Linked DNA regions of Cricetulus griseus. Each later gene encodes a partner of the first gene's protein in a complex. Links are inferred from orthologs where the notes say so. Each region holds a gene or a part of one and is shown in the gene's direction. Other genes may lie near its edges.

Evidence for each region.
Region 2: Snrnp40 (region 1) and Lsm8 share a complex: the UniProt entries of both Homo sapiens proteins name them as parts of the U4/U6-U5 tri-snRNP complex. The link is inferred for Cricetulus griseus from reciprocal best matches to the Homo sapiens genes SNRNP40 and LSM8.

What each region holds. Positions count from the first base shown.
Region 1 is NC_048595.1:22,689,899-22,694,119, reverse strand, and holds the start of Snrnp40 (U5 small nuclear ribonucleoprotein 40 kDa protein), read left to right. Parts: upstream 1-1,421; 5' UTR 1,422-1,476; coding exon 1,477-1,620; intron 1,621-4,221. UniProt on the Homo sapiens protein: Required for pre-mRNA splicing as component of the activated spliceosome. Component of the U5 small nuclear ribonucleoprotein (snRNP) complex and the U4/U6-U5 tri-snRNP complex, building blocks of the spliceosome.
Region 2 is NW_023276806.1:207,804,434-207,808,382, reverse strand, and holds the start of Lsm8 (LSM8 homolog, U6 small nuclear RNA associated), read left to right. Parts: upstream 1-1,149; 5' UTR 1,150-1,270; coding exon 1,271-1,301; intron 1,302-2,221; coding exon 2,222-2,262; intron 2,263-3,949. UniProt on the Homo sapiens protein: Plays a role in pre-mRNA splicing as component of the U4/U6-U5 tri-snRNP complex that is involved in spliceosome assembly, and as component of the precatalytic spliceosome (spliceosome B complex).

The sequences.
Region 1 (4,221 bases):
CAGTCCATTACCAAATCCTATCTAATTTACTTCCCAGCTATCCCCAAGATACTGTAAAACTGTCTTCAGCTCCACCTTCAGCTAGGTTCTCACTGACATTGCTGATCAGAACTACAGTGCATGCTCCCAAAGTGGTCCATTTGCCTCCAATAAACCTCCCCTCCTCTCTCCAATCTCATAACACCATTAAGCCTGAAGGAGCAAGCCTTCTCCTCCTCCACATCCCACGCCCTGGAGGGGAGACAAAATTTTCATTGGTTTCCTATTAATTGTAAAGTTAAAGCTACAAATTCCTGCAAATCTTCATGACCCCCAGGTTATCTCGTACCATAACCCCCTTCAAGTGCTCTCTCAGCATACTGGCTCTTCGTGCCTCTTAGTCATCTTCCCAAATGATAGGGCACTACTGCACACGCTGTTCTGTGAAGAACGTTCTGCCTTCTTCCTCTCTTCCCCGAATTAGAACTGTCCGATCAAACGGCAACAGCTCAGGCATCTTTTCCTCTGAAAATCCTTCAAGCTCATTAGTTACTCACAGCATGAGGCATCGCTCTCTTCGCTAGTCTTCCAATCAACTGGTGAGATTAGTTTAAAATGTTTCCCACACACACCCCAAGAGACACTAAAGCCCTGAAGTTAGAGAACATGTTTCTTCAGTGTCCTCCAACGCTCTGCACGATAAACGCCACTTGGATCGCTTATGAGAAGGCCTGGTACACAAGCATGGACCTTAGATTTCTCAACAAAATTATGCTTTGGAGGAACCATCGGATACTTCCTCCATCACTGTCTGTCTGGGGGCATAAATTAAGCCCTTAAAAAAAGACGGTTGAACCAATGGTATAAACTAAGTCCGCCTCCTCAGCCAAACCCGGCACTGAAGCCGGGAGGCCGGGAGTCGGGCATCACGCTAGTACAGCGCTGGAAGCAAAAGCGGCGTTGTGCAGAGCAGCTAGCTGTCAAGGGACAGCGGCCTTAGGGTTCCAGTCCTGCGGTCAGAGATCCCAAAGCTCCGCTCTAGCCTGCCAAGGGACTACTCTTTCCAGAACGCTCCCCTACCCCCACGGCAGGACCGTCAGCCGAGAATGCTAGGCTCGGGCCCATCACCTAGTCGCAGATTAGAACAGCTACCGTCCTCGTTCCCCGCACACTTACTCCGCGCCAGCTCCTAGCCTGGCAGCCTCTTCATCGCCAAGAACGCCTAACCTGCTCCGCTCGTTCCCAACCCACAATGCACAGCGCGCCTAGGGGGGACGTCACTACACGCCCCAATCCCAGAGCTGAGCCCTCGTGGCGTCATCAAGAACGGACCAATCGCAAGAGCGCATTCAGAGGGCGTTGCAGAAGAGAATGTTGGGAGCCGATTGGTTGCTCCTCTCCGGAAGTTCTGGAGGAAGAACTCAGTTGGAGCCAATTGCGCGGCGGCTGCGGCCGGCGGCGCGGTCAGTGGCGGCGCCGAAGAGAGTGGCTACCGCCATGATCGAGCAGCCAAAACGCAAGGGCCCGGAGCTGCCACTGGTTCCTGTCAAGCGGCCGCGACATGAGTTGCTGTTGGGAGCCGCGGGGGCCGGCCCCGGAGCCGGACAGCCGCAGGCGACTCCGGGAGCTTTGCTGCAGGCGGTAAGTGGGGAGGCATCCCTTCTTCGGCCCTCCGCTCCTCTCCCAATAGACCTTCCCGGCGCTGCGGGAACGGAAAGACAGAGAAGCTGAAGTGAAAGCAGGCCTCTGTTTACATACGTGCCGTGTGTTCTGCGTCTGTTTCATACATGTGTCCCTGTCGGACGCCTGTTTCCAGCCTTTGAATCGCCCTGTGAAGTAGCAGTGAATCATTTAAAACCTTGGCCTCAAAAATCAGGATCCAAAGTTCCGCATCCTAAATCTTCAGGGATTCAGCATAAAATAAACATTCAGAAAAGTTTGTAGAGTGGACGAATGAATGAATGAATGAATGAATGAATGGGAAGGGAAGCAAGGGAAATGAATGATACAGGCTCTCTCTGCCATCTGGTACAATTTACTTTTCTCTTTTTCTGATTTTGCATTATTAACAGTAATTAATATCCGTTGGCTCGAGTGTTAGCTGTTTTGCATGAGAAATTTCCATTAATCTTGGTAACAGCCCGAAAGGAGCTGTTATTTTGCATATAGGGAAAGCAAACTTCTTTGAGTTAGAAGCTAAGCTCCTAATGGCATTTCTTGTAAAATAGTGATCATGCCCTCACTACTATGATATTAGTTTCAGATACGGAAATAAATGTGCCTCCTGTCCCAACTCTCAATTCTGCTGGTGTGGTCATTAAAATAAGTAAATAAAATTGGCAAGGGGTGTAGGGCTGTAGTTGCATCTTTTCAGAAGGCTGACAAGAAAATTTTGAGGGAAGGAGTTGGAGGCCAAGCCTGCAACTCTGGGTTGACAATCCTACTTGTCAAGTAAGAATAAGTGTACCACCAGTAATCCTGAAATGTCTTTGGTAGATTCCGGTGTACTAACTTACTTTTTAACACAGCAAGGTCGCTGACTCAAAAATAAGTAAATAAAAAGCTGGACACACACAAATTTACACTCAAGCTGCTGAACAGGAGGGTCAAGGGTTCCAAGCCAGTGTAGGCTATTATAGCAAAACTCTTTTGTTGAACGGAAGAGAACTGTTTACCTGAAATCCTTACCTCCTAGTCAAACTTTTATGTCATCTGGCATCATTGCAGGTGGGGCTTAATTAGTATTTCTGGTTTTGCCTTTGAATCAAGGATCAATTATTAGTCTGGTAGCCAGGAGAATCACCACAACATTAAATCACATGATTCTCTGCTGAAAATATTGTGTTGGCTATTTCATTCCAAATTAAAGAAAAATCAAATTCTGTGTAATAACCCCTTTTCTATGCTCATGTACCCGTTTTCTAGCATGTCATCCTTCTCAAATAACACCAGCCTGTGTGCTGTTAATTCTGTTGCTGTTGTTGCATATGCTGGAATATTACTCCAAATGCCCACATGTTTAACTACTGGTTCTTTCAAATCTTGGTTCAGATGCCTGTTTTCAGTGGGCTCTCCTGGCCACTGTATTTTAAGTTAAAGTACCCTGTACTCTGGTACTCATATTTTTTTCCATTGCATGCAACACTAGGTGTTCTGCTTGTTTTTTGTTTTGTTTCCTTTCCCATTCTCTCACTCACTTTCCACCAGAATGCACAGTTCATTGTTTTATTGAGTGCTGTTTCCCCAGTGCCTAGATATATTAGGTTTATTTTTATCCGTATGTCTGTATGTATGTGTGAGTACCCTCATAGGCCAGAAGAGATTGTTGAATCCTCTGAACCTAGGGCTACAGGCACTTGAAAGCTGCCTAGTGTGGTACTGGGAACTGAATTCGGGACCTCTGGAAGAGCAGTAAGTGCTCTCTAACTACTGGGCCATCTCTGTGGTACACATGTGTTATTTTCAATAATTACACTAGATAAATATGCTCATGGTACATTATTTACATTACTTTTCATAGTTAATACATGATAATAAATATAAGTTAGTACACTGGAACCTACCAAAGAGATTTCAGGACTATTTTTGGTAGTACACTTATTTGCCAAGTAACACTGTCAGCCCAGGGTTGGAAGACTTGCCAAACAGGCTTAGCGTCCAAGACCCTAATCAGAAACTGCTTTGCCAAACCAAGCATAGCAATTCACACTTGTATTATTACCAGCACTCAGGAGGACTGAAAATTTAAGACCAGCCTGAGCTACTTATCAAAGCGCTGCTCATACCCCTAAAATCTATTTTGCATAGTAAGTTGTACTATGCAGGGTTTTTCAAAGGCTAGGTGGGTGAACTAGTCTGAGAAATGTTGTTCCTGCACTCCCAGAGCTTCATTTATTTGGGGAAAAAGAAGCATGTCAGCAATGACATGAGGAAGGAAACTTGAGGCAGCACTAAACCTAATGGAATACTGGTGGGGAGATGGCTGCTACTTAAGTTTGACTGTTAAAGAAAGACTCTGGGGAGGAAATATTTAAAAGGAGCCCAATAGCAGGAGAGCTCTGTGGGAGACATTTTTCCTTGTTAAGATCCTGAGGTATAAGTGAAGTCAGCATGATTAAGCAGTCAGAAGTTGGCTGTGGAACAAAAGCAGAGTTGGGGAGGAGAGTGGTATGGTGAGCATATGCTGGAATGTCCAAAGGTTTATCCAGTGAAAGGCAGGAGTTCTGTGAGCAGAGGTGCCAT
Region 2 (3,949 bases), on another chromosome or scaffold:
AGTACCCACTTTCGACTGAGGGGTGTTTTTAAAAGGGAAAATTGTAGGGCTGGAAGCCCCAAGATTACATAACTTCAGTAGTTACACAGGACAGGACAAAGATTGTTATGCTTCATGCAAGGTTTAATTAAGCAGGATACTGCAGAGGAAATGGGTTTGTTAATAGTCTCCTGGGCTGGGGACTTCTACAATTGATAACTATCTGATCCTCTTTGGACCAGAGGAATGTGAGTGCCATTCTAGGGTGTGATATCTGGTCTAAGGGCTTGAGTCCTGAGGCCCTTTGTTTAACCTTGTCTGCTGGACTGCTTTTTGGGAACTGAGTTTTCTTTTTGGGCTTTGGAGTCTGGGTTTTAGATTTTATTAATTTTCCCCTTTCAACACACACTAAAATTTTAAAATATTGGTTATGTACGGTTGACTGACTAACACATTTGTACAGCATCTAAGTGAAATCAGATCAAGAGGAGTTTAAGTGACTTTACAACAGGGACATCAATTATCAGGGATAGAATTAGAACCCAGCCTGGTGCTTAGTTTACGCTTTCCTCTAATCGGTCCCTTCAGAGTGGCAATGTAGACTTTCTTAATTACAACTTTCATCCCCAAGAAAAGCTAAGCCTCGATTTAGCCGTGCAAAGTGACCATCTATCGCGCACACCTTTCCCTCTCTGGAGTTCGTTTCCTTAAGGCTGCTTCGTGACACCTGAAGAGCCAAAAGCAGAATGCACGAGCACTTTTGATAGCTGGGCTCTCCCTGGAAATGCACCTCGTGCGGGCTACAAAGACGTTCGCTTTGCACCGCGCCATTTGTCTTTCGGAACTTTTTTTTGGCTCGCGCTGGAGAAGGCTAGAGCTCCCTTCCTCCCAAGGACGAGCAAACATCTCATCTAGGGCGTCTCCGGCACAGCCGATCTTCCCACACGACCGCGGCTCCCGCCCCTCCGCTGGCGAGCCTCCCAGCGCCTGCATCCAGCCCACACTTCCGCCCGTCCCCGCCTTTGTCCGTCTCCCTCTACCGACCGGCACCCGGAAGCGCGGCGGATGCACGCTGCGCACGCGCGCGAGTCAGTCCCCGCCCGGCTTCCGGTTTGGTCGGCTCCTTGCGAGTGCCGATTGGCTGCTAGGTACTCGTTGGTCTCGCGGTATCTGTGCTCACCGGCGGGCGGGCGGGCGGCGGGAACCGGTACGTGCTTCTGGCGGCCCGGCCGTGTCTCGTCTCCTTGTTGCCGGGTTGTCTCCTGTTCCCGGGACCTCCGGGCCCAGCAGCATGACGTCTGCCTTGGAGAACTACATCAACCGTATCCTCGGGCGGCTGCCCAGGCCGCGGCGGGGCGGGGCGGGGGCGGAGACCCGGGGCGGCGGGGAGGACTCGGGGTTCGGGACCGGCGGTGGGGTCATCCGGACAGACCCGGGCCCTTTTCACCCGGCACAGCTTCCCTGCAAGGAGCCTTTGGCTGGATTGCTGCAGATCCCTTAGGGCTTGTGCGGGCCAGCGTCGGGAATAAGTTGGACCGGTTTTCTCAGGGCTTGCGGTTGGCTCGAGGCTCGCATGCATAGAAAGGTGCTTGGTTCTCCAAGGTGAATTTCGGGCCCCCCCTGGAAGTGTCCATGCGATACCCTTAGAAGGAAAGCCTGGAATCGTGTTGGGCTTCAGTGACAGGCAAGGAGCTCTTAAGATCCCAGGTGAGATTTTAAATTACAAGCGCTGCTGCAAAGTCAGGACAGAAACCGTGCACCGAGCACATCTGGTACAGACAAGAAACTCAGGCGTTCAAAGCAGAGAGCTTTTAAGGAATCCAGGGTTGTTTGTACTTGGTGGCATTAATTATGACCAGGTCTTGGACTAGGGGAGGGGGCTTAACGCGCCACAACGGTGCAACATTGATAGTTACGCGTCCAGTTTTTATTTCAGAGGTGAAGACATTGGTCTGAGAAAGGAAGGGATTGTATCTCTCAGTGTTAGGGATTGGAACCCATTGCTGTTTTAAACCCAGGGTCAGATGTCAGACTCTACCCTTCTCCCATTAGATTTACTGTTTTCAGGATAGAATTGAAACAAGTTTCAAACCTTCAGTTTTGTACCTCGTGAGCAGCGGCTGTGTCGAACCTTCATACCGCCACTTTTTTCTTTTTTAAGTAATTGAGACCATTTCCTTACCAGGCTGAAAGTTTTCACTCTGCAATCTCTAAGAAATACTTTCCTTGACGCAGTTCTCAGGAACCGTCGCCGTTATCACTTCTGATGGGAGAATGATTGTGGTGAGTGGCATTTTCAGTCTGCTTCTTTGTAGGCTTATTGATTGTAAATTTGAAGTTACGTTTCTAATCTAATGCTGAGGTACCACGGTATAACCTCGATTCTAGTGTTCTTATGATCCAGCTGTTTTATTTTTTTAAGAATGTTTAAATTTAAAGTACACAGTGTTCTGCCCGCATGTATGCTGGAGATCCAGCTGTTTTGACAGACTTTTATCTCTTGGCTGTCAATACAGCTTCCCTAATAAACCTTGAAGTCTTCTGATCTGGAATGCAGAGCTGTGCCGACTAATTTTCTTCTTGCATTCTTTTTTTTTTTTTTAACCTCAATTCCTTTTGTTTGTTTTCATTTAGAGCTCTTTAAGGATTTACAAATTATGCATATGCTCTTGTAAGTTGCTTAACAATGGGGAGATCCAATCTGAGAAATGTGTATTCAGTGATTTCATTGTTCTTCAAATATTGTGAGAGTGGTTTCAGAAACTAAGTTAGCTGTGACTTCACTGGGGTATGATCTTTGGGACCATTGCCTCATCTACTGTCTCTGCAATATTTCTTTCACGGCTGTAATTTAATCCCATGTTTTCCCATTCGTGATTTTGTTTTCTTAAAGATTTATTTTTAGTTAGGTTTGAGTGTATGTCTGTTTGTTAGTGTCTGCCATGTGTGGTGGTACACTACACAAGGAGCCCAGAAGAGTTGTCAGATCCACTGGAGCTGGAGTTACAGGCCATTGTGAGCCACACTAGGTCCTTTGGAGGAATAGTATATACTTTTAACCATTTCTTCAGCCTCCTTATCTTCTTCTGAATCCCTTTGATTCTTCTTGCTCTTTAGTGAGCAACACCAGTCAAAGTGATAGACTGCCATAGTAATTGCAGTGCTTATCATATGCTAGGAATTTTGTGTTATTTAGTCTGCAAGGAATCTCAAGAAGAATTATCACTTATATTGTAGATTAGGAACCAGGCTTAGAAAAAAAAAAAAAAAAAAAAAAAACCAAGTTACTTTCACAGAGATTCAGTATAACAAGTGTGTTATAAATTGAGTTTTATTCCAAAACCCATAAAGGAAACAGGTGTCTTAAGGTTTTTTGTTTAGTGGTGGTGAGTTTACACTCTAAATTTGTCAACAGTAGGCAATTTGGAATGTGAAATTAGGAATATGTTTGTTTAAACATTGAAAGAAGTCTGTTGCATTTATCAGATAATTTACAAATAACTGATTTTTGAAATCCTCAGGTTTAAATTTCTTATATTTCTGTTAGAAAATGCTTATAGAAGAAAAGCTAAACAGAAACTTTGTATTGACACTCAGTAGTTCTGTCTTTATCGTACCTGATAAAATAATTGCATATATAATGAAGATGAGAGCACCTTTATAGGGGTTTATGATAACTACCATTTGCCAAGTGCTATAATAAATAGTCTAATTTGTTTTTCTTCCCAATTTCTACATTCCAAGTTTCTATTTATTTCATTCAGATTCTATACAATTATGGTTTTTCAGAACAGGGGGGTTTAAAGGTGTACCCAAGAGATTAACCAGCCAAATCTAAAAGAAGCTATTTCTTCAGAAACTTAAACAGCATTCATTATATTACATTTTGCTATAGCCACAAAATTTTTCCTGAGTATTTCCTTCAAGTTAAGTTCTTGATTATTTTGGTTCTACATATGTCTACTATATT